Stegostoma tigrinum: one gene and its partners. The protein of the gene in region 1 interacts with the protein of each later gene in a pairwise test. Links are inferred from orthologs where the notes say so. Each region holds a gene or a part of one and is shown in the gene's direction. Other genes may lie near its edges.

Region 1 (7,638 bases):
TTAAAGTTGAGTAATTTTGACCAATCAAATTACATCTAGAACACAATGCCTCTTACTTTTAAAGTAACAAGTTAGGGTCTCAGCTATCTTAATATTTGGTCCATAACAGATGTAACAGTTTCCACAGTCAACTGCAAACCCCAACAACTGCTGAGTGAAAATAAAACTCTGGTTCCGTAGGAACCTGATTCCACCCATTCATGTTGCTTCCATTATACTAACGTTTAAAAAATCCCAAGGCCTCATGACTATTTATTTTATTAGCCTGGAGGAGGCAGTTTTTCATCGATACTCAAAACCTCTCTTCAAAAAGACACAGGGCAAAATGCTCCTCTTAAAGCCATAATATCATTACACCTTCCCCTACCCCTTAAAAGAAAAATGAACTATCAATAAACATAGGTGGCTTCATTTTTAAAAACCTTTAGTTTTATACTACAGGAACCAGCTCTGTGCTAGCTGGGCCAGTGTCATATGCTACGCACATGTAAGTAAAAGGTGACTTGGTGATGGGATACTGGTCCTCGTGGAGTTATTTCACCGACAAATGTGGTTTGAATCAACAATATCAGCATGATCACCAACCATCTCATTTGTTTAGCTACTTTCTCACATGAAATGAAAAAGGCTCCATGTCCTTCTCAGAAATGTTCCACAATTGAGAAGGAGACCTTGAGTTTGATGGTGCAACATTTCAACATTTATGTTCCCAGTAATGCGCCTGAGACAATTGTATATACTGATCATAAACCCTTAATGTTTTTTGGAAAAATAAAAACAGAGAAATACAATATTGCCAACATGGAATTTGTTGTTAAAGCCACTTAATTTAAAGATTATATGCATGGTATGACGAGAGAATGTAATTGCTGATGCGTTGTCACAAGTTTAACGAAAGAAAATGAAGGTGTTTGTTGGCAGAAGAAACTGATTGAAATGGACTGTAGTGTTGAATATTTGCACGTTTAGAGTCAATGTAATGTTTGTGTATTGAAGTTCTATGGGAGCCTGACTCCCCTGTTCATGCTGACTCTATTTTTCAACTTTTTAAAAATCCCCACGTCCTCACAACCTGTACACTTTATTGGCTTGGAGGAGACAGCTTGGTGCCTATGGCTCAACACCTCTCTTCACAAGAAGGAGAAAATACACCCAAGGCCATGGTATTGTCACACAGTTTTCTAATCAACTTGTTCAGAGATGTTATTATGCATCTCTGGAATAGGTGGGTCTTGAACACAAGCCTCTCTGTCCAGTGGTAGGGACAAATAAATATTAAATGGAACTGTGAAAATAAAAAGTCTGAGTAATGGTGACCTTGGAACTATTTGATAGCTTTTCTAAAAAATCTATTTTACCTTGTCTTTCAAGAAAGGAAATCTGCTATCCTTACACTGTCTGAGCTTCATGTGACTCCAGATCCATAATGATGTGGTTGATTTTTAACTGGATTCCGATATGGCATTCCATGCCACTCAGTGATCAAGAAGACAGCTTACTGTCACCTTCTCAAGGACATTTGGGAGGGGTAACAAACACTGGACTTGCCAGTGATCATATTTCCATAAATAGACTCATAGTCATAGAGTCGCACAGCCAGAAACAGACCTTTGGTCCAACCAATTCATGCTAAACATAATCCCAAACTAAACTAGTCCCACCTGCCTGTTCCTGGCCCATATCCCTCCAAACCTTTCCTAGTCATGTACTTATTCAAAAACCTTTTAAACGTCGCAATTGTACCCATATCCACTACTTCCTCTGGAAGTTCATTCCACACCCAAACTACTCTGTGTGACTTTTTAAAATTTCTCTGTCTCCTAAAAATGTGCCCCCGAGACGCGAAATCCTCCATCTGAGGGAAAGACAACCACCATTAACTCTATCTATACCACTCATTATTTTATAAACTTCTATAAGGTCACTTCTCAACCTCCTACCCTCCAATGAGAAAGGTTCTCCCCAATCTTCATAATTTTATTAAGTTATACAGTAGAGGCAATTTCACACATATCCCAAGTGTTCTTTTAGGGAGCTCTTGATTTTCCTAAAAAGGTGGAATAGGTGTGTAATGGTGGAATTCAATAGCTAGATTCACAAGGAATTGAATAAATACTTTGAAGAAAAATTTGCAGAGCTAAGGGGAACAACTTAATGAGAATAATTTGTATAGGTGCTTCAAAGGGACTGCAGTAGTAGAATGAGCTGAATAGCTTCCTGTACTGTATAATTCAGTGGTACTGGGTACCTGAAGCTGTCCAATTTTTAAGGTATATTGTACCTTTTAATTCTTACACCCACAATCTTTTGACTGTCCCTTTTCAATAAGTCCAGTTGATGCCCTTTTTTTACTAATAGTCAAAATATTACTGCAAACTTTGTTTTAACCGATACCTTATGGCCAGCATTTTTGATAAACCACTAAGAATTATATACCTCAAATATAGGAAGTTTACTGAATTATCACAATCTCTGAGTAGTCAGTCAGTTCAGGGTGTGAGAGGGCTCTCTGCCAGTAAGGTTTATTTCAGGCAAAGTTGCATTATTATTTAAGTGATTTATGCTGCAAATAAGTAGAACAGCGATGTGTATACCGCCGCATTACATTTCTATTAATTAGTGAGAGTTTTTATATTGATTATGTGGACCTCTTGATCAACTGGAATATTTAGTCAACTCACACGCTCCTGATCCCATAAGTGTCCATTAATAAAAGGTTTGCTGTAGTCATCCTGTCTAACACAGAGTCCCACTGCAGGAGAATGAACATGTAATCTCAGTACCTTTCCCCAGGGCAGGATTGACTGCCACGAGGGGTCATAGTTTTAAGGTGTTAGGAGGAAGGTATAGAGGAGACGTCAGAGGGAGGTTCTTCACCCAGAGAGTTGTGAGCGCATGGAATAGTTTACCAGTGGTAGTCGTGGAAGCGGAGTCATTAGTGACATTTAAGTGACTGCTGGACATGCACGTGGACAGCAGTAAATTGAGGGGAATGGAGGTTCGGTTATTCTATTTTTGCTTAGGATTATTCCACGGCACAATATCATGGGCCAAAGGGCCTGTACTGTGCTGTACTTTTCTATGTTCTACCTCCACACTACTGCACTGGTTGACTATCTTCATCATACAATGGTCTCATCTATGCTCCAGTTAAATGTAAATGCTCACCCTTGCACTATTTTGTAGGGGTGTGTGGAATTAATGACGGATACTTATCTCTCCACTAACATCACTAAAACAGATTTTGCAGTTATTATAACATTGTTTAAAGATTTTGCTATATCCAAATTGACTGCTGCAATTCCTACATTATATAAACCTCTCCATCTTTCTCTCCTCTTCATGTTCAAAACCTATCACTTCACATTAGTTGACATCAAACTTCCAATTTTCTTAAATACCTATGTTTGTTCAGTGCTACTCCTTTTTGTTTCAATTTACTTTCTCTTTGGTTTCAGTATCTTAGACATGTCTGCCTGGGGTCCAATTGTTTCTTTGACAGTCTTCATGAGAAAACTAATCTTCAACTAGAAATCTGCAGACATCTACAAGCACACCACTGGGTTCAAAGGAAGGGACACCATCGCTGTAACACAAGATCAGCTAACCCTATAGTCTCAAAATTTCTCAATGTCGTGATTTGAACACACAACTTTTTGACACTGCGTCAGGCACAAAACTGCTGCACCACAAACCGAGTTGTAAATTATGAGAGATAATGGGAACTGCAGATGCTGGAGATTCCAAGATAATAAAATGTGAGGCTGGATGAACACAGCAGGCCAAGCAGCATCTCAGGAGCACAAAAGCTGACGTTTCGGGCCTAGACCCTTCATCAGAGAGGGGGATGGGGGGAGGGAACTGGAATAAATAGGGAGAGAGGGGGAGGCGGACCGAAGATGGAGAGTAAAGAAGATAGGTGGAGAGGGTGTAGGTGGGGAGGTAGGGAGGGGATAGGTCAGTCCAGGGAAGACGGACAGGTCAAGGAGGTGGGATGAGGTTAGTAGGTAGCTGGGGGTGCGGCTTGGGGTGGGAGGAAGGGATGAGTGAGAGGAAGAACCGGTTAGGGAGGCAGAGACAGGTTGGACTGGTTTTGGGATGCAGTGGGTGGAGGGGAAGAGCTGGGCTGGTTGTGTGGTGCAGTGGGGGGAGGGGATGAACTGGGCTGGTTTAGGGATGCAGTAGGGGAAGGGGAGATTATGAACCTGCTGGCACACGTCCACGAACACATAGCTTCAGGTGTGACTACAACCAAATTTTCCAGGCCAGAGGTAGAGACATGACCAGGATATCCATAGAGTTAAAAGCAACAATTGAAGGAAAACGTGAATGAATTCAACGCCTACTCCCCATATCAACCTAATACAATTCATATTGCTAATTGAAGAAAGTGCATAATTATTTCACACTGTTACGAAAGACAGGTTTTAACATGACAGCTTTACGCGTCAACGTATTAAAACACTTCGTTGAGGCAGCGGAGGTTGCGCACGCAGGCGGCAGTATCCCAAACGTCAAAGAAAGCGAGGCAGTCTTCTTCCGTGTGCACCTGCTATTCCTTCCGGCTTCCTGTTTTGGTCCTAATCCCCGATGAATGGTTCCTAAGGTTGTAATCCCATTGGTTCTTACCTTGAGCCAGTTTTGTTTGAATGAATTCGCTGTTTAGTATTATGAATGAAAATTTAGGTATCCTGCAATTTAGTTTCTAATTTGTCGTTGTTGCGAAGTTGTTATGAGTATCCCAAACCCTGAGAGGTTAGACCCAGGAGGTAAGAGCCAGATCTCAGCCATTCGAAAGGAGGATTGTGTGTACACCAGCTGTTATTGGTAAGCAGGCCTTACTGGGAAAAAATGGTCTCAGTTATTTAATGGGGGTGTAAGTCCCACAAATTGTGCGACGTTTTCCATAAATTAAACGGAAGTTGTGTTATCAGTGTATTTTTTAAAAGGAAAATCACTACTGTGATCTGACGTGCACTGGCTGAAAGCGCAGCGGAAGCTGATTCAAATACTGTAGGGACTTTCAGTAAGGGATTGGACAAACATTTCTAAGGATAATTTGCAACGCTACAACAGAGGAAGAGAGTGGGATTGATTGGGCAGTTTTATTCAAAATTGCCGGCCGAGATATATCGAACTGAATGGCCTCCTTTGCTGGAATAGTCCCTAAACGTTACCTTCTCCCAATCACCTGATCTTGACAGCTTTGGATTTATTTCTCCTTTTAGGGGGAAGGCCAGCTGTTTGGGCCCTATATTCTGGAATCGCTTCCCAAAACGTATGCTTCTCTCCTTTAAAACCTACCTCTTTGATCAGGACTTTGGTCACCTGTTCTATTTTTTTCACTGGGTGCTCAGTTTCAAATTTTATTTAATAATCACATCTTAAGCGATTTTATTTTGTGAAGGTTAGTACTTAAAACTTACAACAACAGTTTATTTGTACTTGTCTGCACCTGCCTTCCCCTACAGGGTTGCTCTCCGACGAATCAATGGAGGATTTTCACATGGTTTTGTTCTGCTATGTCAGTGTAGATCCTTCTATTCAAATAGCACTTGTTTTGAGCTGAAATTAGGAATATGCAATATAATTGCACAAATGTACTTTTTCTTTTGAAGGATTGTTCATAATTTACTTTTAGGACTAAACAGTTATTTATTGTCAACCTGGCTTTTAATGCTGCTAAAGTGTAATCAGCATTGATCAAGCTATATAAGTTATATTGTTAGCAGTTAAAGTATGATTGAAAATATTTAACTGCTTTCAGCAATACTCTAATAGACTGTAAATTCCATTTTGCAGACAAGTTGTATTATTTTTCTTTTGAGTCTCCGCTCCCAAGCAGCATATTTCATTTTCTTCCATGTGGAAAGACAGGTCCAGGCTCAACTCTGTGACCCTTGGGTTTAGTACACTTCTGGCATCTTTCTACCTTCCTACAAAGGCCAGAAAAATGAGGTATCAAAAGAGCACTAGAACCTCTACAGTCCAAGTCCAGCCATGAGAGCAGATTTCAAAAAATAAAAAGAATACAAAACTTAGTTTGTACTTGTAATTGTAGAATATTGCAGAACTGAAGGAGCCCATTCAGCTTGTCGTTGTTTGTGCTTGTTCTTCTAAAAAGTATTCTGCTTGGTCCTACAGCCGAGTTTTTTTTTGTCTGTAACCCTGTAAATTCCTCATCACTAGGTACATGTCAAAATCTCATTTTAAAAATTAGTTTTGGAATCCTTTCTGTGGTTCAGCATTACAGAATCTGACAGCTGTGCGAGTAGAAATATCTTCCTCATGCCCCTCTGCCTCATTAACTAATAAGTTTAAATCTACAACCTCCGGCTATTGACTCACTTCTCAGAAACAATAATATTTTTATTGACCATCCCAAAACCTCATCATCTTAAAAGTCATTTTTTGAATTCGATCATGGGGATGGCCAGCATTTGTTGTCCATCCTTAATTTCATTTTGAGTAAGCGGTAGTGAGCCACTTCCTTGACCTGCTGCATTGCTTGGTTTGTGGGTACAGTTCCGGTATTTTGACTCAGCAACTTTGAAGAAACAGTGTTATTGTTTCCTGTCAGAAGCTAAGTGGCTTGGATTGGAACTTGCAGGTAGTAGTATTCCCAAGCAACTGTTGCCCTCGTCATTTCAAGTGGGAGAGTTTGTGGATTTGGAAGGTGCTGCCAAAGGAGCCTGGTGACTAGTTGTAGTGCATTTATTGGTGGTACACACTGCTGCTGTGCATCAGTGGTGAAGAGAATGAACTTTAAAGGTAATGGATGTGATATTAATCAAGCGGCTGCTTTGCTGTGGATTGTGTAAGCTTCTTTAGTGTTGTTGGAGCTGCACCAAGCCAGGTAAGTGATGAGTGTTCACCACACTCTCGACGTGCCATGTTAATGGTGGACAGGCTTTGAGCAGCTTGAAAGTGAATGATTTGCTGCAGAATTTCCAGCCTCTGACCTGCTTTTGTAGCCATAGTATTAACTGTATATTTAGCCATCTCTGTTCTAAAGAGGATAGTCCTGACTTTTCCAACTCCACCGCGCAACATACATACATCATTCACGCCTCTATGCCCAAAAGCGGTGCCCAGAATATTGTAGCATTTGATTTAGACAAAAAAGTGAATATTTTTGCAATAAATGTTCACATTTATATTAAAATATGTTCTTAGTGAAGAAAATATATGGAAGCTTTGTGAATACATAAGGAACAGAAGACAATATCCTCTGGAAGAATGGTACACTGTTTTCGTGTCAAATGACCAAAAGATGGTAAGTGCAATCTACAATTGAATGTACGTTTTATTAATTCAAGGTACAAGAATTTCACCAAATTCCTGCTTTGTCTGTATCATAGAATCACAGAACTGTTGCAATATCAAAGGACATCTTTTAGCCCATTCTGTCTGCTGAGGCTGTCCAGTTAATCAGTATATCTCATGTTACCCACCAACCTTCACCCTGTACTTGCACAACCTTCCTTTTCAGATAATAATCCAGTTTCCTGTTGAATGACTCAATTGACCTTGCCTCCACCATGCTGTCAGGCCGCCAATTCCAGATCTTAACCACTCGATGCATGAAAGGTTTCTCCTCAAGTTTCAATTGCTGCCTTGTTAATTACTTTAAATCTG
Region 2 (7,277 bases), on another chromosome or scaffold:
TTTGTACAAAAACAAAAAAAACTGAAAAACTCAGCAGGTCTGGCAGCATCCATGGACAGAAAGCAAATTAACATTTCAAGTCTGTTGACTTTTCTTCAGAACTCCAAAGTGCAAGTTGCTTTTGATGATGGTGCCGGATGAATGTTAAGATAATAATAAATATATTAGACAGCCATACCTGATCATTTTTGTTACTATCACTATTAGCTCTGACATTGCAAAACTGCCACAGCTGAGGGGCTGCCTGGATGATGTGTGACATAAGTGCGAGATTTCATGTACAAAAAAACTGAAAATAATGCCACATGATAGAGAAGTGATAGGCTATTCAGACCACTGGATTTGCTCCATCATTTGATCATGGCTGATATGTTTTTCAACCCCCTTCTCCTCCCATCTCCCAGTAACCTGTGATACCCTTACTAATCAAGAACCTATACATCTTTGTCTTAAACAGACACAATGACTTGACCTCCACAGTCTTCCAAGGCAATGAGTTCCACAGATTCACTACCCTGTGGGTGAAGAAATTCCATCTCATCTCAGTTCTAAAGGGTGATATTTTTAATCTGAGGCTGTGTCTTCAGGTCCTATTCTTTCCTCTTAGTGGAAACCACCTCCACATCCACTCTATCCAGCCCTCTCAGTATTCTGTAAATCTCAATAAGATTTTCACCTGCCATCCTTCGACACTCCATCAAGAACAGTGCCAGTGGTCTTAACCGCTCCTCACACCACTCCTCACCCTTCATCCCTGGGATGACTATTGAAAATGTCCTCTGGACCTCCTCCAAAGTCAGCACATCCTACCTTACATATGGAGCCCAAAAATGCTCACAATATTCTGAATGCAGTCTGACCAGAAGAACTTGGAAAGTCCAGTTATACAGCATCCTCAGTATAACTCTGCTCTTATATTCCAGCTCTTGCAATCAAGTGTTTGCCTTCCTAACTGCCAACTGAGCCTGCATGTTCTAGTTCAGAATCTTGAACTAGAACTCCTAAGTCCCTTTATGCTTCAGATTTCCAAAGCCTTTCCCCATTTGGAAAATCATCCACCTCCTATTCTTCCAACCAAAGTTCATGACCATACAGTACTCTTTCTGCCACTTCTTTGCCCATTCTCCTAGCTTTTCCAAGTCCTTCTGAGGCCTCCCCACTTCCTCTAATACACTTATCCCTCCACCTAGCTTTGTGTAATCTGCAAACATAGCAACAATTCTCACAGTTCCTACATCCAGATCATTAATGTATAACATGAATAGTTGTGGTCCCAACATTGACCATGCTGAACTCCATTAGTCACGGGATTCCATCCTGAAAAAGACCCCTTTAATCCCATTCTCTGCCCTTTGCCAGTCAGCCAAGCCTCTATCTATGCCACTTTCTTGCGCCTAACACCATGGGCTCTTCTCTTATTTAGCTGCTTTCTCTGCAGCACTTCATCAAAGGCCTTCTGGAAATCCAAATAGATCAGGTTCACTGGCACTCCTTTGGCAAAGTTGCTCATCACTTCCTCAAAGAATTTTTATAGATCTGTCAGGCATGAAGCCTTGATGAAAGCACTGGTGATTCAGTCCTATTTTATCATGCATTTCCAAGTACTCTCAACCTTAATAATGCTGGAAGGGTCACCAGACCCGGAACATTAACTCTGTTTTCTCCTCCACAGATACTGCCAGACCTGCTGCGCTTTTCCAGCAACCTTGTTTTTGTTCTTAATAATGCACTCTAAAATTTTACCAGTGACCGTTCTAAAGTTTCCTATTTTCTGCCTCCCTCTCTTAAACAGAGCCATTTTCCAGTCCTCTGGGACGCTTCCTGATTCCAATGATTCCCGAAAGATCACCACCAATGCCTTCACAATCTCAAGTATCTCCTTCAGAACTCTGGGGTGTAGTCCATTTGGTACGGATGATTTATCAATCTTCAGACCTTTCAACATCCCCAGCACCTTCTTCTTAGTGGTGGCCATGACACTCACCTCTGCCCCTTGACTATCCTGACGTTCTGGTATGTTACTGGTGTATTCCACAGTGAAGGCTTATGCAAAGTATCTATTCAGATACTCCACTATTTCTTGTTTCCTTTACTACTTCGCCAGTCTCATTTTTCAGTTATCCAATGTCTACACTTCACTCTGTTACCTTTCAAATATCGAATAAAACTCTTGCAATCCTCGTTTATATTACTAGCTAGCTTACCCTTATATTTCATCTTCTCCCTCTTTGTGTTTTTTAAGTCATCCCCTGCTGGTTTTTAAAGGCTTCACAATTCTCTAGTTTCCTACTAGTCTTCCCAACGCAGCACGTTTTTCTTTTGCTTTTATGCTGTCCCTGACTTACCCTGTTCGCCATGGTTGCCTCGTCCTTGCCTTAGTATGTTTCTTTCCTTGGGATGAAAATAGTGCAATCAACCAGTATTAGCAACCAGTTTCCAGAGAATGTTTACATCTGTGTAAATATTCAGTATGCCAATTAGTATTTTCAATTTTGAGTGCTGCCAGGACAATTTAGAACAGGACACGAAGCTATCGCCAAACATCATCATGCTGTCACAGCATGTCCTACTTCAAGATGGTGGAGACAGAGCAGGAACAGTTCGGGCTTGTTTGCTCCAGTTGCTTGTCTTTCTTTTTAATTTTCCTCATTTTTTTAAACTTACCTTCTTATTGAGAGCAGCAGCATCATTGGCGGCAATATGAGTTCAGTGCAGAAGCGTGACAAGTTTTTGGATTCTTGATGGTGGAAGCAAGTTTGGGCCCAATCCAAGACCCAGTAGCATCAGCGACTGCATCACCGAGTTTGGACTATGATGCAGACTTGGGTCAGCAGCCAGGTCAAGTTTGAGCCCGTACACTCAACTGCATTGGTGGTGGTTACATCATCGGCAAGGACTCATGGTGGCAGCAGCATTAGTAGAGGCAACATGGGGGTGAAGAATGGCAACTCTGTTCTAGTGGCGGCAATGCAGTAAAGGCAGACTGCTTCATTCTTGGATCAGTGATAATGGGAACTGCAGATGCTGGAGAATCCAAGATAATAAAATGTGAGACTGGATGAACACAGCAGGCCCAGCAGCATCTCAGGAGCACAAAAGCTGACGTTTCCGGCCTAGACCCTTCTCTAGGCCCGAAACGTCAGCTTTTGTGCTCCTGAGATGCTGCTGGGCCTGCTGTGTTCATCCAGCCTCACATTTTATCATCCTGCTTCATTCTTGTGTTGTTCTTAGCATCGGGGTGGGGCAAGTGCCCAGATCCAGGTCTATGCTAAGCTGAACATTTCTTTATTTTCTGCCTTCACTTTCTATGTTTTGGTTTATTTTCTGTGTTTCAAACTGGTGCTGGATAATGGCGACACTAAACAATTTTCACTGTATTTGTAACAATAATAAATCAAATCAAATTCATTAATAGTATTCCTTATTTTGCGCAGTTGAGCCAACACAGGCCACATGGATATGAAAAGCAATGAAGTGTTACCATATTATTATGTTTGAATGCATTACAACAATAGTGTGATACCACGACCATGGTAAATTTATTCTGAATTGCTTACACACGTCAAATTGTGAAAATATTGACTGGTAAAACCTTTGCCTTGTTAAAATGCATAAATTATTTTTCATGCTGAGTACGTTATGCACTCCCACGCCGTCTGTCCCTGGAACCACAGTTATCCCACCTTTAAACCTACCTCTTTGGGAAAGCTTTGCGTTACTCGTTGCTAACGTCGCCGATCGTGACAACTTTATATATCTTAAATTTCTAAACAGGTTTGAATATTTCCTGTAAAAACACGGTATGACCAGTCGGACAAAAGTTGTACCCTAGCCTCAACCCGGGTGCAAAGGAAGCGAGGAAAAGGCTGGCAGTGACAGACTTCGGATACAGATGCAGAAAATGCTAGAAACACTGAGCCGCGTCCAGAAAAACTGATCAACATCCATTCCGTGGAAGCGGGAAGAGGCTGCCACCTATCAGCGAGCTCAGATCTACCTTCTCCAGAATTAACCGATCACAGGGCCCAGAATACCAGAGCCGGTGAAGGAGCAGCCTATCGTAGCTTTGTGATTGCAGGCTGTACCCCGAAAAAGCCAATCGTAGCGCTTATGGGTGTAGACCCTTCCCAGGAGCAGCCAATCGTGGAGGCCCGCACGCCGGCACTGCGCGAGAATTAACCGATGGCAAGGCACTGAGCTCATTTCCCACCCCTTCCTCCAGCCAATGAGCAGGAGTCGTGAGCGGCCCTTAGCCCAGTTGATGTTCCGCCGCCCAGAGAAGGAGCTGTGAACGGCTGTAGGGGTAGTGGCAGTGGTGGACGAGAGTGTGGCTTGGCTGGATTGGACATGGCGGCTACAACCGTCTCCACCCAGAGGGGCCCGGTAGGTTTCCTCTTCTTATTTTCCAGTTATGGGTGATGTGAGACTACGATCTCTGCGGAGTGTGCGGCCTTGTCAGGGAGTAGGTGTACTGACTGAGCTCTTGGGCTTGGCTGCGCCAGATCCTACCCGCAGCTGGCTGCCGTCCCCGTGTCTTGTCCCGTCCTTCCTGTTTTTGTAATGCTCCTTTTTTAAAAAAAAAGTTCATCTTGGAATATACAGACAGAAAGATCCTGAGGATGTTTACTGTCTTCTGATATGTCTTAAGAACGTTTAAAGGGCCAATCAGGAAAATAACTGGACAGATTGCTTCAGAAACATTTCCATCAGTATAGGATAGTTACGTAGAGATATTAGGAACTGCTGATGCTGGAGAACCTGCGATAACAAGGTGTAGAGCTGGATGAACACAGCAGACTTATGTTTCGGGTCTGGACCCTTCTTCAGGGTCTAGGCCCGAAACGTCAGCTTTCGTGCCCCTCTGATGCTGCTTGGCCTGCTGTGTTCATCCAGCTCTACACCTTGTTATCTAGGACAGTTACGTAGCGTCTCGATGACGGTGATCCCACTGTTTGGAAATAGAATTCGCTTATCCTGACGTTCTTGAGTGTTTATCATGTTGGTAATGTGCCGAATAGATAAAAAGCATCTGTTGTAGGGTTGCCAACGTTGGGTGTATTCCTCGTGGTTTCATCACACAAGTCCTACCTTGTAACATCCCAAGTTCTACCAAAACACACTGTCCCGTGCTGATGATATTGGTTGCCCAATTTATTAGTCCTCGTTGCGCACTGCCTTCCGAGATTAATTGGAAAGTGAGCAATGTTAATCACCGTATTATGTGATTCTTGACTGTTCGAGAATCTCAGGAAGCTCATGGTGTGGAAAGTCATTAGGTTTATTAGTTTCTGAAACAGCTATTTGAGCACTTTATCTTCGTGTCAATCTCCTTTCTTTTGGTACATTGTTTCTGTTTAAATAATTGTCCGACGCTCTCTTGAATACTTCCATTACTGGACAATGCGTTCCAGACTCCACCTACTAACTACTTGAGGGGGAAAAAAGTTCCCTGCATTTTCTTCTTTTGCAAGCCATTTTGAAACCATGCCAGCTGATTCTTGATCCTTCTGGAAGTGGGGACAGTTGCTTCCGATCCACCCTGTCTCGACCCCTCATGGTTATCAAAACTATTAAATCTCCTCTTAGCCTTCTCTCCAAAGAAAACAGTCCCAATGTCTTCATTGCCTCCCCAAAACTGAAGTGTTTCATCCCTGAAACCATTTTTTTTTTGCAAACCTCTTCAGTCTTTCTGGTATATTCACAGCCTTCCTATGGTGTGGCACATGGAGCTTGTATACTCCAAGTGACATCCGAGTACCAAGGAATGACCATCTCTAAGGAGAGAGAATCTAACATTGACGTTCAGTGGCGTAGCCATTACTGAAACACTCAATCAACATCTTGGGGGTTACCATTGATCAGAAACTGACGTGGACTAGTCATATAAGTATAGCAGCTGGGTCAGGAGCTGGGAATCCTGCAGTGTGTAACTCGCCTTGTAACTGCCTAAAGCCTTTCCACCATCTCCAAGGCAAAGTCAGGGAATTCTTCTCACTTCCCTTGATGATTGCAGCGCCAACACTCAGGCTTGATACCATCCAGGACAAAGCAGTCCACTTGAATTGGCATCATTTTCACAATCATTCAGTCCTTCCACCAATGACGCTTAGCAGCAATGTGTAATATTTACAAGATGGTCTGCAGGAATTCACCAAGGCTCCTAAGACTGAACCTTTCAAACCTATACTCGCTAACATCTAGAAGGACAAGGGTAGTGGACATGTAGGAACACCATCTCCAAGCCACTTTCCATCCAGACTTGGAAATATATTGCCATTCCTTCAGTGTCATTGTTTCTAAATCCTGAAACTCTCTCCCTAATGGCATTGTGGGTGTGGCTTCTCCATACAGACAGCAGTGGACACATTTATACTTTGTCTCCATGTTCTTTGTGCCAGAATGTATCACTTCACACCTGTATGTTGAATTTCATCTTCCGACCATCATTCCAATCAAGAACTTTCAATGGTTTACGAAGCCAGAACACAAGCATATAGTTCAAGATACCACAGGATTTAAACTTGTACATCGCCACAAAGCTGCCTTGCCTTGACCTCAGCAGGCTTGTTTTCCACCGCCTTCAAGCTGTATTTCCGTTCATAGACTGCTTTTTTCCAGTGATATTGCCAAAAGACTCACCATCAGCAGCGACCCTCATGGGATGTCGAACAGCTCCCCAGATGGATTATTCTAGACAAGGGGGTGACGTTTCTGTGACGTGTTGTCCTGTGGGTGAATTCATCCATGATCCCATTTCTTGGGCATTGTTCAGGGTTGTTTTGGAGTTGGAAGTTTCAATTCATCCTGCCGAAGAACGCATTCCATTCACACCTCTCGATTGCAAGCACTTTGAGCACATTAGAAATTGGAAATTTGGAAAATTTTGCCACCTTGGTTTTTTTTTTTTGACGCCATGCCCTGTTTTAATGGTGTATCTACCGCTATGTTGTTGCATCGTATCGCTAACTCTAAGAAAGTGTGTAAAGTGATGCTGCGAATGCCTTTAATTTCCTTCTTTGCCTTGACCTCAGCATGTCAACTGCTCAAAGCATTATTGCTAAGATTCGGAATTCCGTGTCGACTTTTAACCTTTTGAGACGTTTTTGTTATCCGTTTGACTGACTTGCAAAAATGTCCTTCAGTCTCCTTTTTGTTTTAAAATGGTAAATGTTTGAATCTGTTTTTTAAAAGTAACGATTTTGTTTTTTTTTGAAAGCTGTACTACAAAAATGCAGTGTCCTATCATTCAGTATATATTGATGCAAAATGTGCTGTTA
Region 3 (7,353 bases), on another chromosome or scaffold:
GAGGAATAAAAGGAAGAACAGTAGAATTACTTCGTGTCTACAAAATAAGTTAGAAATAAGATACTTATAACATAGTTAAGGGATTGACATTACAGTCTGGTGATGAAATTTTAAATAGCAGCGGCTCAGCATATGGTCTGACCAACCACAGTAGGCTGCAGTCCAACAGCAGTCCTGCTCTGCTGCAAGACTCCAGTGTGTTCCACACTCAGCTGCACCAAGGTAAGTTGCGTTGCTGTAGGACTTGCTTTCTCTCACCCCGCTGCAGGACTCACTTGCCCTCGCATTGCTCCAGAATTTGTTCCCCTCGTACTGCTCTAGGATTTCTTCCCATCGTGCTGCTTTTGGACTTGCTTTCCCCAGTACTGCAACAGGACTCATTTCCCCTTGCATCGCTCAGGTCTGTTTCCCCTCATGCTGCTCCAGGACTCAATCACCCTCACATCACTGTGGGACTCGCTCCTCTTGCGCTGCTCAGGGACTGTTTCCCTGCATGCTGCTCTGAAATCCATTTCCCCTCCTGCTACTGGGGACTCACTCCCCTCAGTGCTGCTCAGGGACCTGTTTCCCCTGATGTTGCTCAGGGACTGCTTCCCCACATGCTGCCCAGGACTGCTAAAAAGAGAGACGAGAAAATTTTCAAAAAGAATAGGCAGTGCAGGTGAGCCCTGGGTGGAAGCATCCTACTCTGCTCCCATCTTGTCAGAAAGGCTACATCTTTATATTTTTCTGTGTTTTTGAGCGTGGAATGAGACAGGAAAAAGTCTGTTTGGAAATACAAGAATTATTGAAGGATTACTGCACTTTTAAAAAGCATATTACCTGTCATTCTTTGTAAGTGCTGTTTACACAGCTGTCAGTTGAAACAGTGGGGCAAATCTAGTTGCCGACAAGCTGGAACCACTGGGCTGTGTATGGATGGAGATTTTTTTTTCTGGCAACAAATACCTCATTGGTCTGTGGAATGTTGACTAGTTATTGATGACAGGCACCTCCTGCCTCCCAGTAACTATGCGATTGACTGCCAGGTAGCTGAACAGTTTGTGGGTGTGAACGTTCAGACCAGAAATCATCAAACCTCTGAAAGAGGAGCTCCTTTCGCTCTGGAGTAGAAAGCATCTCAAGACTGAAGATGATCAGTTTATTTCCCCTTGTCAATTGCTCTAAGTTGTTACTTTTAAGAAATTGTAAGTTTTCCTCCAACAAACAAGAGAACATGCCTGGTGAAGTGGGCAGGAACTATTAAACAGCTTTTTCAGTTTTCCATATGCCCATAACATCCTTTTTTGTGTCTGTCTGTGTATGTGTGTAGTGGAAATGTTTATAAGAGGGTTAGAGTTTTAAATAATAGAGTTATATGCTGATGATTCCAAATTGTTTATCTGTTGTCAATATCTATTTGTAATAAATAGTAATGATTGTTAAGATTGTTAACCTGGACTGTCCTGTCCAACCCGGGTCTAAATGACAGGTAAATTGGGGAATTCTATTTGCTTGTTCAAATCTGTAACTTTTGTGACTACTGTGAGAATAGCAGGGCTTGACTTTTATCCTGCTGCTCCAGTGAGGTGTAGCTCATGCAGAATTTTCTGGAGAACTCAGCAGTTCTGGCAGCATCTGCAGAGATAAAGCAGTATTGGCATTTCGAGTCTAGTGATCCTTCTTCAGAATAGGTCACAGGACTTAACGTATAAACTGGTGTGCTTTCTCTCCGAAGATGCTTTGAGACCTGTTGAGTTTCTCCAACAAATGCTGCTTTTATTTTAGAATTCTGGCATCTGCAATTCTTTGTTTTATTGAGATATATCACAAAACTGACTAAAAAAACTTAGTCGTTAAATATGTTCAAGAGGGAGAGTGATGGATTTCTGTGTTCTGAGGGAACTACATGACATGTGAGCAGTATAGGAACATGGGGTTTAGATGGAAGATCAACCATGGACTTGAGTGGCAGAGCAGACATGAATGGTGAAATCACCTGTACCAGCTCGTTTTTCTACGTTCTCAAGTTTGTTCACACCCTGGGATCTAGGTATCATTCATGTTCTCCAGAGATAAGTGTGATGAGTCACTTAACAAGAGTGAGTAGTAAAAGAGAGATAGCAAGAACTGCAGATACTGGAGTTAGAGTTAACAAAGTGTGGAGCTGGAGGAACACAGCAGGCCAGGCAGCATCAGAGGAGCAGGAAAGTTGAAGAAAGATCCTGATGTGAGTTTTTCTGTTCCTCTGATGCTGCCAAGCTTGTTGTGTTCCTCCAGCTCCACACATTGTTGTCTTTGAGTGCTAAACGACACATGACTCGATATTGGTTGGATTTAATGTTGCACATCAGGGTGAGAAACATAGTAGCAAAGCCCACTTAATGTTTGGAGAGGCTCCATGTCAATCTCTAAACAATGGTAGATCTGCCCCATTTAAGTGAGGGAACAGAAAGGGTAGCATTCGTGGCCATCAGTGGCAAAATGTCAGTTATCCTAATTAATAAGCCAATTGACATCTGTTGCTCCTGAGCCTGCTGCAGTTTAATAGTGGCTAAGGGATTGAATGGAGGTCGTATTTTTCTCCCAGATCACGTGAAGTCCACCCAGCCAACCCAAAGAAATTTCAGGCCTCCTAGAAAAGGGGGCACCATAGAAATAAACTAGGGGCACAAATAGGCCATTGGGCCACTTGCCACTCAATTTGATCGTGGCTGATCATCCAACTCGGTAGTTTCTGCTTGCTCCCCATACTTCTTGATCCCTTTAGTCCTCAGAACTATGTCTATCTCCTTCTTGAACACCTACTTTGTTTCCCATGGGGGATACTGGCCGCTGAAAGCCAAACCCTGTGCTACTGTGTAACATTCATCCATCCTGGCAAATCCTGTTCTACCTTCTCTGATATTTGGTCTGGGTGTGTGTAGTTCCAGTTGCAGCCACCACGCCTGCTGGTGCTCGAGGCATCAGGAGCTCTGCAGGTCTCTGTAGGTGGGATTTCTGCCATCAGGGTCCTCAAATACAGTCAAGACCTATCTGTAGCCATCTAAGTGCCTGAAGGTTATTTGATTTTACTGGGCTTCCCTTACTGAACTGGCAGGGTTCCCCACCAATCCTGCTACCAGTGGGCAAGATCCCCTTTCTGAGTGATTGAATATGAAAGTGATTGATTGAGGGAAAATGACAATGTGAGAATGAGCTGGAGCGAGTGACGATAAGAGAGTCAATTAATCTGACTGTAGAAGTGGTGAGATATTGAGAAAAGGCAGGAGTCAGTAAGTGATTCAGTGAAAGTGAGTGAGATTTTGAGTAATAATTGAAGAAATGAGTGAATGAAATCACATTTGTGTGAGATTGAGAGTAAATTTATATGGGAATAAGACTGTGATGACAAAAGGTTGAGTTTACTGAATGACAATGAGACACTGAGTGAAAGTCTGAGTCAGTGAACAAAATGAATCAGCGATAAAGTGTGAATGTGTGCTTGACATGCCTCAGTGAATGATACTGAGAATCCACTGAACTAATAGAATATGGCAGCTGTTTTGATGTTCAGCATTCACCCTTTTACCCGGCTGAATTGTATTTCTACCCACTGCACACATCCTCCAAGCCCAACCTACTCATTCTAACCCAACCATTTAAAACCCCTACTCACTTGACTAACCTATTCAACCTGTCCTTACTCACCCCTCTCACCCTCTTGAAATCTGTCTCAATCCCGTTAACCACCAATAAACTACTCTTCCACCTTTTCACCCCATACCAAATGGTCTCACCTTCAGATACTCCTTTCATCCTCCTCTCATCCCTTTCATCTGTCACTCACCCTCCCAGCCTTTCACCCCTCACTTATCCGACCTCACTTACCCACTGCACTCATCCATCATTCCATTTCTCCTAATTAAACTGCCCACCCTACTACCTCCCCATTCATGCTCACACCCTGTTATCCACCACACTTATCCTCTCATCCATTCCACTATTTAGCCTAATTATTTAGTAAAATGGAATGATTTCTAACTGATCCTTGCTTAAAAGAAATGTTGTATAGTTGTTAGTTACTGTTATATTGTGACCACAGCATCTTCAAGAGAAGGAAGAAAAGTTGAGAAAAACAGGATAAAAATGATAAATGAACACTGATGTGTCTGAGTATATGTGTCCCTGTGTAAGGAGCCTGCAAAAACAAATACAGTTGCCACAAGATACAGCCTGTCTAAGATTATTTTTAGCATTTGATCTTGCTCGTTTCATTTCTGCATTGAGCTCAGAACAGCTGGGAAGCCTGGGAGAGTGAGCCAAGGCCAATTCTGGAAAATCCAACAGACGTATCGTTCAACAAGTGGATGATTATTTGATTTTTAAAAAAAATTTCAATGTGGAAGACTGTGGAGAAGGCTTACTGAGGTTATACAAAACAGCATTGAATCTTGTGAGCAATCCGGAACCAAAACGTTTTTGAAGTCCCTGGTGCCACTCGTGTTGTTTGGTGGAGTAGTCTGTCCAAATGATTTCTGCCTTTTACCTCAAGGAAGCTGATTGAAATGTTTTGCTAGTGTTTATAACTGAAAAAGTAACTAACCTGTTTCCCTGTTTTATGAAACCAGGTAGTTTCCTTCCTGTGTCTGTGGCCTGCATATCTTTCTCTTATTAACAGATCTCTTTTTCACTGCACTGTTTTGAAATATTGTGTTCCTGTGCCTCATGTCATCAACTCGATGCAGGAATCACGACCAGTCCAGACCCAATCCAAAATGGCTGGCAAAGCTGCATTGTATCCTATCATCAATCGTAACAAGGATATTACCTATGCCAAGAGCGGGGTCTTTCAGCAGCTGAAGGACGAGTGCCTGAGAAAAGGTGTCTTGTTTGAAGACGAGGAATTCCCTGCCAATGACTCCTCACTTTTTTACTCTGTGGGTATGCCCTTCAAGCTGGAATGGAAAAGACCCCCAGTGAGTGACATACTGTTTATTCAATAGTAGCTTAGTCTGTGGGATACATTTATACTGGCCTGCTGTAGCGTGATGGAGATTTGGGATTTGTGTTTCTTGTATATATTTAAGGGTGAGATTGATAGATTTTTGATCAGGTGAGGAATCAAGAGTTGCAGGGAATGTGTGGGAAAATGGATGTGTGGAATATTGGATCAGTGGAACAGCCTCCTGTTTCTATTTCTTATATCAGTTTGCAATATTTCCCTAGTCTGATAATTACTTCCGTTAACTTGTTGCATTTCTTTTAATGTATGTGGATGACTTGCAGCATGGTTGCTGTGAAATTTTGGCTGGCTTGCAATAAACGTACAATTTAGGAGTAGGAATTGACCACTCGAGCTTGCTGTACCATTCAATAAGGTAATGTCTGATCTAATTGTGGCCTCAACTCAACATTTCCAAAACCCCTAATTATTACTGACTCCCTTGTTAATCAAGGATCTCTCCAACTTGGCCTTAAAAATATTCAATGGACCTCACTTTGACTGTTTTCTGGGAAAGAGAGCTCTGAAGATGTACATCCCTTTCAGGAAGAAAAGAATCTTCATCTCCATCTTAAATCAGAAATCTATTATTTTTAAACTGTTCCTCTAGTTATAGTCTCTCCCACTAGGGAAAATTTCCTTTCAGCATTTAGTCTGTCAAGCTCCCTCAGGATCTTATATGTCTCAGTATGATCATCATGCAATCTTGTAAGCTCTGCAGTTGGCTACGTTGTGGTTCCAGATTTTATTACCCATCTGTTTTTATTGTCAGATTGTTTGGCCTTGATATAGAGTCCCTGCTAATGGCTGATTCATGTTGGTATTCAATAGGAGTGATTCTCTCTGACAATTGGCCACATTGACTGTCCAGTTGGTTGGTGGGAGGGAGCACTACCATCAAGGGGCCACAGTCAGGATGAGAGCATCAACTCCAGGTAGTGACTGGGAGCAGGGAAAGCTGGGGAGTTCCTCGAATAGGTAGGTAGGAGTACTCCCTCACTTCTTGGCATCCAATAATACTGACGGGCTGCTTACTTTGGGGAACTTGCAGCTTCTGCTTAGGCTCAGTGGCTGAAAAATCCCACTACGCAGGCCTTCACCAGTATGTGTATATGTACTGCACATTAAATAGGTCCCTGTTTGCCTTCTGTGCAAGCCCAGTCTGTGCCCCAGTCCCTGTGCTTTAAACTTGAAAGGGACAAAAATAAAGTTAGATTCTGAAATTTTAATCCATCCTTAGGGCGGCATGATGGGTCAGTGGTTAACATTGCTGCCTCACGTGCCAGGGGTCCAGGGTTCAATTCCACCCTCAGTTGACTGTCTGTGTGGAGTTTGCACATTCTCCCCATGTCTGCTTGGGTTTCTTCCGGGTGCTCTGGTTTCCCCCGCAGTCCAAAGATGTACAGGTTAGGTGGATTGGCCGTGCTAAATTGCCCTGGAGTGTCCAGGGATGTAAAGGCTAGTCGGGTTAGCCATGGGAAATGCAGGCTTCCAGGGTATGGGTGTGGGTCTTGATGGGTTGCTCTCTGGATGGACTTGATGGGCTGAATGGCCTGCTTTCACACTACATGGATTCTGTGAAATATTCTCCCAGGATTTAGGAGGTAGTTAAAATTTGTGATTTTGATACATTGTAGACAAGACCAGAATCAATTTCTTATCACCTGATGCATTCTCATCAAAATGAGAATAAACGTTCCCCTGTAGTTTGTTGTCATTATACCTTTAAAAACAACATAGTTACCTCTTTGATAACAAATTGTGGAGCTGGATGAACGCAGCAGGCCAAGCAGCATCAGAGGAGCAGGAAGGCTGACGTTTCGGACCTAGGCACTTCTTCAGAAATAAAACAGCAATTGCCCCTCCACTGCATTCCACTCATTGCTCCAGCTACAGCATTCAGAATGTAAACGATCCATAAAAGGAGAAAACAGAATTTATTAGTAAATTCACTAACCATTACATTGTATTCACAACTACAAAAATGGGACATTGAATTGGAGATTATTTTGCAATTCTTTCAGTCGTATTTTTTCTGAAGAAGGGTCTAAACCCAAAACATCAGCCTTCCTTGCACCTCTGATGCTGCTTGGCCTGCTGTGTTCATCCAGCTCCACACCCTTTTATCTCAGATTCTCTAGCATCTGCAGTACCTACTATCCCTGAAACATAGTTACTTCTTTGTTGTGTGATTGATCATCATCACTGCTCAACATGTTGTGTTAGCTCTATGGACTATTGGTCACTGTTTTGTAGATTTGCTGCCATCATGCTCCTTTTAGTTTACGATCTGCAAGGCCGTCTTGGTCTAGAGTGGTAGAGGGAAACCACTTGAATGAGGAGAGACCTTTGTCTTAAAAACAGTATGTAGTTTCTCGCTTGATGGTAAA
Region 4 (7,724 bases), on another chromosome or scaffold:
GTGGCAGGAGCGGATAGGCGGGAGAGAAGACTGATAGGTCAAGGAGGCGGGGATGAGAGGGAGGGTTGGACTTTGGGTGAGGCCAGGGGTGCGGAGATTTTGAAGCTAGTAAAGCTAGTGTGGCCTCCTCTACATTGGTGACACCAAGTGGAAGCTTGGAAACTGCTTTGTAGAGCACCTGTGCTAAGGTCACGACAAATGACCACACCTTACAATTGCAAAACACTTCAACTCCCCCTCCCACTCCCTGTACGACACGTCCATCCTGGGCCTCCTCCAGTGTCACAATGATGCCATCCGGAAACTGGAGGAGCAGCACCTCATATTCCACCTTGGAAGCCTACAAATCAATGTGAACTCTACTAGCTTCAAAATCTCCCCACTCCGGCCTCATCCCAAGATCAACCCTCTCCCTCATCCCCACCTTCTTGACCTGTCCATCTTCTCTCCCACCAATCCATTCATCCCACCTCACTGACCACTCCCCACCACTATCTACCTGCTATCACCATTCCACCTACCTTCCCCAGGCAATCCCCCACCTATTTATTTCAGAGCCATCTTCCCCTCCTCCAGTTCTGAAGAAGGGTCCTGATCTGAAATGTCTGCTTTCCTGCTCCTCTGATGCTGCCTGGCCTGCTGTGTTCCTGCAGCTCCTCACTGTGTTATCTCTGACTCCAGCATCGGCAGTTCTTACTATCTCTGAGTGGGTTATCATTGTCTGAATCAGATGGTTGCAGGTTCAAGTCCTGCCTATGCACAGAATTAATATTGATGTTCCCAGGGCAGTATTGAAGAAGAGCTGCACTTTTCGATAAGATGATAAACCACAGCCCTGCCTTCCTTTTCTGGTGGATGTAACTGACTCCATGATGCCACTTGAAAATAAGCAGGACAGTTTGTCATAGTCAATATCCATTCCACAACTAGCATAATTAAAAGTACTCATGGTCGGTAATATAGTTGTTTTTGAGAGAGTTTGTGCAATTGACTACTGTGTTTGCCTAATTAACAACAGTGGTAGCATTTAAAGGCAGTTGGTTGGCTATGGATAGCTTTGGAATGTTCTGGTGATGTAAAGGGTGCTATATAAGTGTAAAGTTCTGTAAAGGTTCAGGAGCACTTTAGCTTTAATCCACTGAGCTATCAGTAGAGATTGATCATGCTTAAAACTAAGTCTAAGCATGGGATAAACTAGTTCATTGCTTTGTGGCTTTGAAGAAGACAATTCACTGTCTTGCAGATATTATGACTATTTTGTTTCATTTTTCAATTCACTTTTCTTTTGCTCCTGGGGTACCAGTGCTTCCATAGTCATCCACATCAGCGCTACTGATAAAACTCAGTAGTGTACTGTGAATTAAAGAAAGCTAAAATGAATGAAAACTACTTGTAGTCTCGTTCAATGATAATTCAACAGAAAGCAGGGGTTGAGTTGGGTGCGGGTGGAGAGAAAGATTGACTGAATAACATTGTGAAGCCGTCTGTGGGGGAATAGGATCTCATATTCATAGCAAGACACAAGGTCAAAGTCCAGTGAAACTAGGCTGACAGTATTAGGACAAATGAAAATTTCTAGAAAATGCTGCAAATATAAAACAGGTCAGTTGGTATCCGAAAGAAGACAAGCTATGGTTTCTTGTGGTACTTGATTTCAGAGCTAGGATGCTCTGGCATGGATTGGTATTACACAAATTGGGGGCCAAGGGATATATTCTTCATATTAAAAGATGCAAGTTTGAGAGGATGAATAAAGGGACTGGACATATTGTTTTGTTAACACCCAGATATTAATGCATTCTGGTTACAATCAACAGTAAATTGTGTAAAATGTTGCAGAATTTAAAGCATGACTTTATTTATGCTTGGGTTACAATGTATGTTTGTTGCTATGTTAAAAAGAAAATTGATTAAAATAATTCTATGGCTTGGGTCTCACTGCTCCCTTGTAAAGTTTAAGATGCCAACCTGCACACTGTGCAAATAAATGCTGCTCCATTTCTTGTCAATGGATGATGATTTTGACATTAGTGAATGTGGAAACGATGAGTAACTCTACACAGATTCACTTATTCTAGCCAAACTAACTAAGCAGAGTGAAATATTTCATTCAAGCAGGAAATTATAACATCGCCAAGGTTAATACTCCTACTTTTCAGGCACTAGGAGACAGAACTGTGTGATTCAAAACTCAAAACATTAATAATGATCCTGATATCCCATGCAAAAAAATATAAATACCATAATGTTTAAAATCTTAATGCTGTGTACTCTTTTGGCAACTTTTTCTATTGTAAGTTCCTTTGACCACTTGTTCAAAGAGAAATGCTCATGTTTAAAAATGCAAGGCTCCAGTTAAACCTGACATCACAGGCAGGTGGGTATCATCAGGTCATAGAGATGTACAGCACAGAAACAGGCCCTTCAGTGCAACTCGTTAAAGCTAACCAGATATCTTAAATTAATGGAGTCCCATTTGCCAGCATTTGGCCCAATTCCCTCTAAACCCTTCCTCTTCCTTTACCCATTCAGATGCCTTTTAAATATAGTAATTGGACCAGCCTCCACCACTTCTTCTGGCAGTTATTTCCATGCACAGAAACAGACCCTTCCTTGCACACACCACCCTCTGCATGAAAGAGTTGCCCCTTAGGTCCCTTTAAATTTTTCCCTCTCACTTAAACCTATGCTCTCTAGTTTTGAACTCCCCTAACCTGGGGAAAAGACCTTAAATGTTCATCTTATCCATGCTCCTCATGATTTTATAAATTTCTTGTTGTCACTCCTTAGCCTCCGACTCCAGGGAAAATAGTCCCAGCCCATTCAGGCCCTACCATTCAGGCCCTACCTACAGCTCAAACCCTCCTACCCTGACAACTTCCCTGTAAATCTTTCTGAACCCTTTCAAATTTCACAGCATGTTTCCTATTGCAGGGAGACCAGAATTGAATGCACTATTCCAAATATGGCCTAACTAATGTCGTTCACTGTAGAACATGACTGTCCAACTCCTATACCTAATGCACTGACCAATAAAGGAAAGTGTACCAAATGCCTTCCTCACTACTCTGTCTACCTCATTCAGCAACAATCTCCAGGACCTTACCATTATGTGTTTCAAGTCCAGCCATGATTTGCCATACAAAAATGTAGTACCTCACATTCCAGTGTGACGAGTTTCTGTAGGTACCAGTATGGTTTTGATGATATTGGCTGAGCAATTACATTGGGGGTGAGATTGGGGAGACTGAAGAGGATATAGGGTGGGAATCCTTTCTGTTTTTCATCAAAAGATGGCATTGGGAATTTTGCACCAATTTGAGAAAGTAGGTAAGGCTGTGATTTAATGTCCTGTCTGAAGAAGGGTCCTGACCCAAAATGTCAACTTTCCTGTTCCTCTGCTGCTGCCTGGCCTGCTGCGTCCTTCCAGTTCCACACTGTGTGGTGTCTGACTCCAGCGTCTGCAGTTCTTGCTATCTCTAAGTAGCAGCCTTGTTGCCTTACCAGACCTTGACATATACAAAGTCAACTCATACTCTGGAGTGGGACTTGAAAAGTCTTAGAAGAAGGAGTGCTACCCACTAAGCAATGTCTGTTTCCCAAGCACTGGTTAAAAAAACCCTTGAATCCAATCTAGCAAATGCATAATCAGCACCCCATCCTCCACTTAAACATTCACTTCGAACACTTTCAGCTCACTGCGGTGAGGTATGCCGCAGTGATACATGCAGCCAACCACACAGTCTCATTTGACAGTGCCTTCTGACCTGTGACCTCTACCATCTACAGAGAAAAGGGCAACAAAGGTACACGGGTACAGCATCATCTGTAAATTCCTTCCAATCAACATTACCCTGATTTTAAAATATTATCATTCCCTCTGTCGCTGGGTCAAAATCTTGGAACTCCCTTCAGAACAGCCCTTGGGTGTAGCTACACTAATTGGACAGCAGTGGTTCAAGAAGGCATCTTCTTGGAGATAAGGGTTTCAAGGTCAAACGCTGACCTAGTCAGTGACGTCCTGAAATGAATTTTTAAAGAGGATATAGGGTGGGAATCCTTTCTGCTTTTCATCAAAAGATGGCCTTGGGAATTTTGCACCAATTTGAGAAAGTAGGTAAGGCTGTGATTTAATGTCCTGTCTGAAGAAGGGTCCAAGACATCAACCAACACCACAACAGCTGGATCCATGATTATACGGCTCCACCACAATGAAATAATTAACAACGTTAGTGTAGGATCTAATAAAAGCAAAAATAGAAATTGCTGGAGAAACTCAGCATGTCTGGCAGCAACTGTGGAGCGAAAGCAAAGTCCCAGTGCCCCTTCGTTGAAGGTTCTGAAGAATGTCTGCTTTTGTTTCAGATTTTTAGCGTCTGCAGTTCTTTATTTTATTCTAATAAAATCAAAATACTGCAAATGCTGGAGATCTGAAAAAAAAACACAGAAAATGCTGGAGATACCCAGCAAGTCTGGCAGCATCTGTGGCCACTGAAGCAAGGTTAATGTTTCCAGTTTCAGGATGAACGCGCGGCTGGGTCTGGCTGAAGATCTTGAATCAGATTCACGCTTTCCAAAAAAGGGCACTACCGGTCACGGTGGCAGTGCGGACGCAGTGATTGGTTGTCATTTGAATTGTTACAATGAAAGGGGCGGGGCCCTGGTGGCCGGGCGGAATCCCCGCGTTTGTAGTGCATTAGGAGCTGGCTTATAGGCACATAGTGCCACGTTGCGTTAGTTTTATAGAGGCATGGAATAAATGTTATGAATGTCCAAGCTCATCAGCAGCCGCAGCCGGGGTACAGTTACGTTATTGAGCTTTTTTCCAAGCCGGTACTTTTCTTCCTAACAAAAAAAAAGCAAGATGTTAACTGACAGCATAATAGAGGATTTTGAACGCCGGGAGGAGGAACCGTGGTACCAGCAACAGCAGAATATGGAGCACGGTGAGTTTAAAGTTTAAAGGCGCTTCTCCAGGTTGGAGTTGGTTGACAAGCACCAAGAAAATAGATTGCACGCTGCCAGTTTTATCCTTGCCTTGCTGGTAGATACAGCTGATGAGGGAGATCTGAAATGAAAAACAAAATAATGGAACCAGACATCATCTGGAGAGAAAGAAGCGCTCAATGCTATAAATTTGTGACCTTGCATCGGCACTGTTCTTAAGAATCTTTCTCCTTTAATCTGTGTCTAGCCTGAACCGGGACGGAGGGAAATAATAGCGCTGTTCCCACCCAGTTGACTCGGCTTTTGTGAAAGAGACGAGCACAATGTCTGTGTTTCTTATTCGCAAAGGCCAAGTAAGTTGTTTGTTAATTACAGCCTGTGAACATTGATAAAGGTGTTATTTCCTGAGCAGTGGAGTTTACCGCAGTCGACGTGTGCAGAGCATCAGGAGGCCATTCGGCCAACCGTGTCTTTACTGGCTCTTCTTGAGATATCCATCGAGTTCCCTTCTCATTCACCACAGCTCCCATTCGAAATTTATTTTGAAAATAAATTTTACTTGTACGTTTGCGAGACAAACACCATATCTGGCGAATTTCGTTTCAGACTGCTGTAGAGGCCGGGGTGGGGATTGGTTAGTGGCTCTGTCGCCGGGAGTCCGGCATTGACCTCAGTGTTTGGCGTGGCCTGGCTATCCCGCAGATCTCCGGCCCCTTTCCCGCTTCCCTTGCTGTGTCTGTGTCTGTGGCTGTCTCTGTTTCTGCCTCCGTCTCCTTGTGTGGTGTGTCTCTCTCTCTCTTACACAGCGCGCCTTTTCTCAGTGGCTTGCCCTGGCGAGAGCTGTCGCCATAGAAACCTTGTCCTAGTGAGAGGCTGATCTGCTCTAATCGAAAACCATCCCTTCCCTCCCTCCCCTGGAGCTTTATCTGAATCCCAACCCGTTATTTAACGAGGAAAAGTTGGCTTCCGCTTGGATTAAGAGAACTGGCAGTTTGCCTCCAACTGGACTCTGAGGTGGGAGTTCAGGCTGGCGGAGAGGCTACTTGGCCCCTCGCTTCTGTGCTGGCTCTTTGTAAGAACAAGTTGTGTCACTCCCATGTTCCCTTCATAACCTTACACGTTTCTCCCTTTCCGGAATTTCAAATTGCCCTTCTAGAGTAGAATCTCCTTTTGTTTCTGCTTCGGGGGGGACGGGACACAGAGCTGCTTTGTTAATTATCCTAAAACTGCCCTTTACTAATCGGCCCTCTTGCCACTAGAAATCATCTCTCCTTTTATTTACTCCATCAAATCTCCTCCTCATTATCAGGAAAATCCTCTTAAGCCTCCTCTTCACCTTTGTGCAGAAAGTAGAAACCTTACAATATCTAGACGGGTTTATCACGAGTGTTTTGACAATGCTAAGCCGCTACACAAATCTGAACCTGCCTCTTTGGGATATTTCGAACGGAAACACTTGATACTTGGAAGATATGGACAACGATTTAAGTATGTTTCATGCTGTAATATCTACATGCGCCTTGGGAGTAATATAGTACTAACAACGAGGGGCATCTCTGGATGTGTCCACTGCTCATAATCTGTTGTTCAGGCTGTGTCCTTCCGTTTAACTGATTTTTGTCCATCCATCCATCCAAAGATTGTGACTTTAGACCCCCTCCTCGGAACTCCCGGTGACATGGTTTATCATTAAAAATGAACTTGGCTGATGGGAATTAGTCCACCAGGCTGGTGAGAAATTGAGGTCCTCATATGGACAAGCTGTGGGGTAGGGCCAGCCCATCATTTGGAGTGGGTCCCAGGCTGATATTTGCCTAACTTGCTTTCCCCAGTGTCTCAGAGACAATATGGAAACAAATGTGTTTTTTACTTGCTCTGGAATACACACAGAAACTCATTTAAAGATGTCATAAAAGACTTTTGAGAGATTGGAATTGGAAGGACAGCTTCAGTTCCAACTAGGACACAGCATTAAAATCTGCTGAATAATAAGAAAAAGATGCTCTTTGAAGCACTCAGCAGTATTATCAACATGGGTTCCCATTTTCTTTGTTGCATCCTCCTATTGAATCAGACAATGAAATGAGATTAAATCAGGAGACTCCACGGTCTAAAGGAAATCAAGGACTCTTCACTGTAGACGTCCAAGCAACAATCAGGCAAAACAATTAAAAAGCCATTGAAAAACTGGCAATATGTGATGCTAACAGAGGAATATAGAATTTTTGTTTTGTGGGGTGGGGTTAAACTAGCTGCACAAAGCCAGGCCACATTTGTTTCCTAAATTTATGGTGATCCTGATACAGCAGTTTACAAACCCTCCAAGAAAATCATTTTTAAGTGGTAATCTGGTTGAGTCAGTGGGCAGGACCAACAGTCTCTGATTCTGTCTTTTTGTATCTTAGATCAGCCAAAAGCACTGGCTAAAATTCAAGTGAAATGTATGTGGAGTAATGTTGTAAGAGACTGGGAGTTGTAATTTACCCTGCATTTAACTTAATTTTGTTTGTGTGCTGTTACTGAACGATGTTTGAAACACTCACCACATCAGACAATATTAGAGAAATGAGAGTTAAATTTCACGTCTTGCAGTTTCTCCACAGATGCTGCATGGCACTTCCAGCGTGCTCTGTTTCTCTTTCAGGCTTATCATATTTTTGTTTTTGTTTTGCCCTTTTACCAACCTTTTCTCTAGTGACCTGATTGCCTGTCTGCCTTCAGTGCTGTAGTTATTGGATTCACTGTCCCATGCTGTTGAAATCAATATTTTTGCCAAT

What was found.
Region 2: the proteins of ntaq1 (region 1) and tollip interact in binary tests that used the Homo sapiens proteins (3 or more experiments, as listed by UniProt). The two-hybrid records come from large-scale screens. The link is inferred for Stegostoma tigrinum from reciprocal best matches to the Homo sapiens genes NTAQ1 and TOLLIP.
Region 3: the proteins of ntaq1 (region 1) and capn3a interact in binary tests that used the Homo sapiens proteins (3 or more experiments, as listed by UniProt). The two-hybrid records come from large-scale screens. The link is inferred for Stegostoma tigrinum from reciprocal best matches to the Homo sapiens genes NTAQ1 and CAPN3.
Region 4: the proteins of ntaq1 (region 1) and cdr2a interact in binary tests that used the Homo sapiens proteins (3 or more experiments, as listed by UniProt). The two-hybrid records come from large-scale screens. The link is inferred for Stegostoma tigrinum from reciprocal best matches to the Homo sapiens genes NTAQ1 and CDR2.

Annotation. Positions count from the first base shown.
Region 1 is NC_081358.1:39,416,566-39,424,203, forward strand, and holds the start of ntaq1 (protein N-terminal glutamine amidohydrolase), read left to right. Parts: upstream 1-4,559; 5' UTR 4,560-4,732; coding exon 4,733-4,827; intron 4,828-4,926; exon of another isoform or gene 4,927-5,278; intron 5,279-5,291; exon of another isoform or gene 5,292-5,407; intron 5,408-6,270; exon of another isoform or gene 6,271-6,771; intron 6,772-7,176; coding exon 7,177-7,276; intron 7,277-7,638. UniProt on the Homo sapiens protein: Mediates the side-chain deamidation of N-terminal glutamine residues to glutamate, an important step in N-end rule pathway of protein degradation.
Region 2 is NC_081370.1:25,089,678-25,096,954, forward strand, and holds the start of tollip (toll-interacting protein), read left to right. Parts: upstream 1-4,212; 5' UTR 4,213-4,347; coding exon 4,348-4,383; intron 4,384-7,277. UniProt on the Homo sapiens protein: Component of the signaling pathway of IL-1 and Toll-like receptors. Inhibits cell activation by microbial products. Recruits IRAK1 to the IL-1 receptor complex. Inhibits IRAK1 phosphorylation and kinase activity.
Region 3 is NC_081363.1:83,217,715-83,225,067, reverse strand, and holds the start of capn3a (calpain-3), read left to right. Parts: upstream 1-4,276; 5' UTR 4,277-4,700; coding exon 4,701-4,937; intron 4,938-7,353. UniProt on the Homo sapiens protein: Calcium-regulated non-lysosomal thiol-protease. Proteolytically cleaves CTBP1 at 'His-409'. Mediates, with UTP25, the proteasome-independent degradation of p53/TP53.
Region 4 is NC_081376.1:34,248,488-34,256,211, reverse strand, and holds the start of cdr2a (cerebellar degeneration-related protein 2), read left to right. Parts: upstream 1-4,686; 5' UTR 4,687-4,864; coding exon 4,865-4,946; intron 4,947-7,724.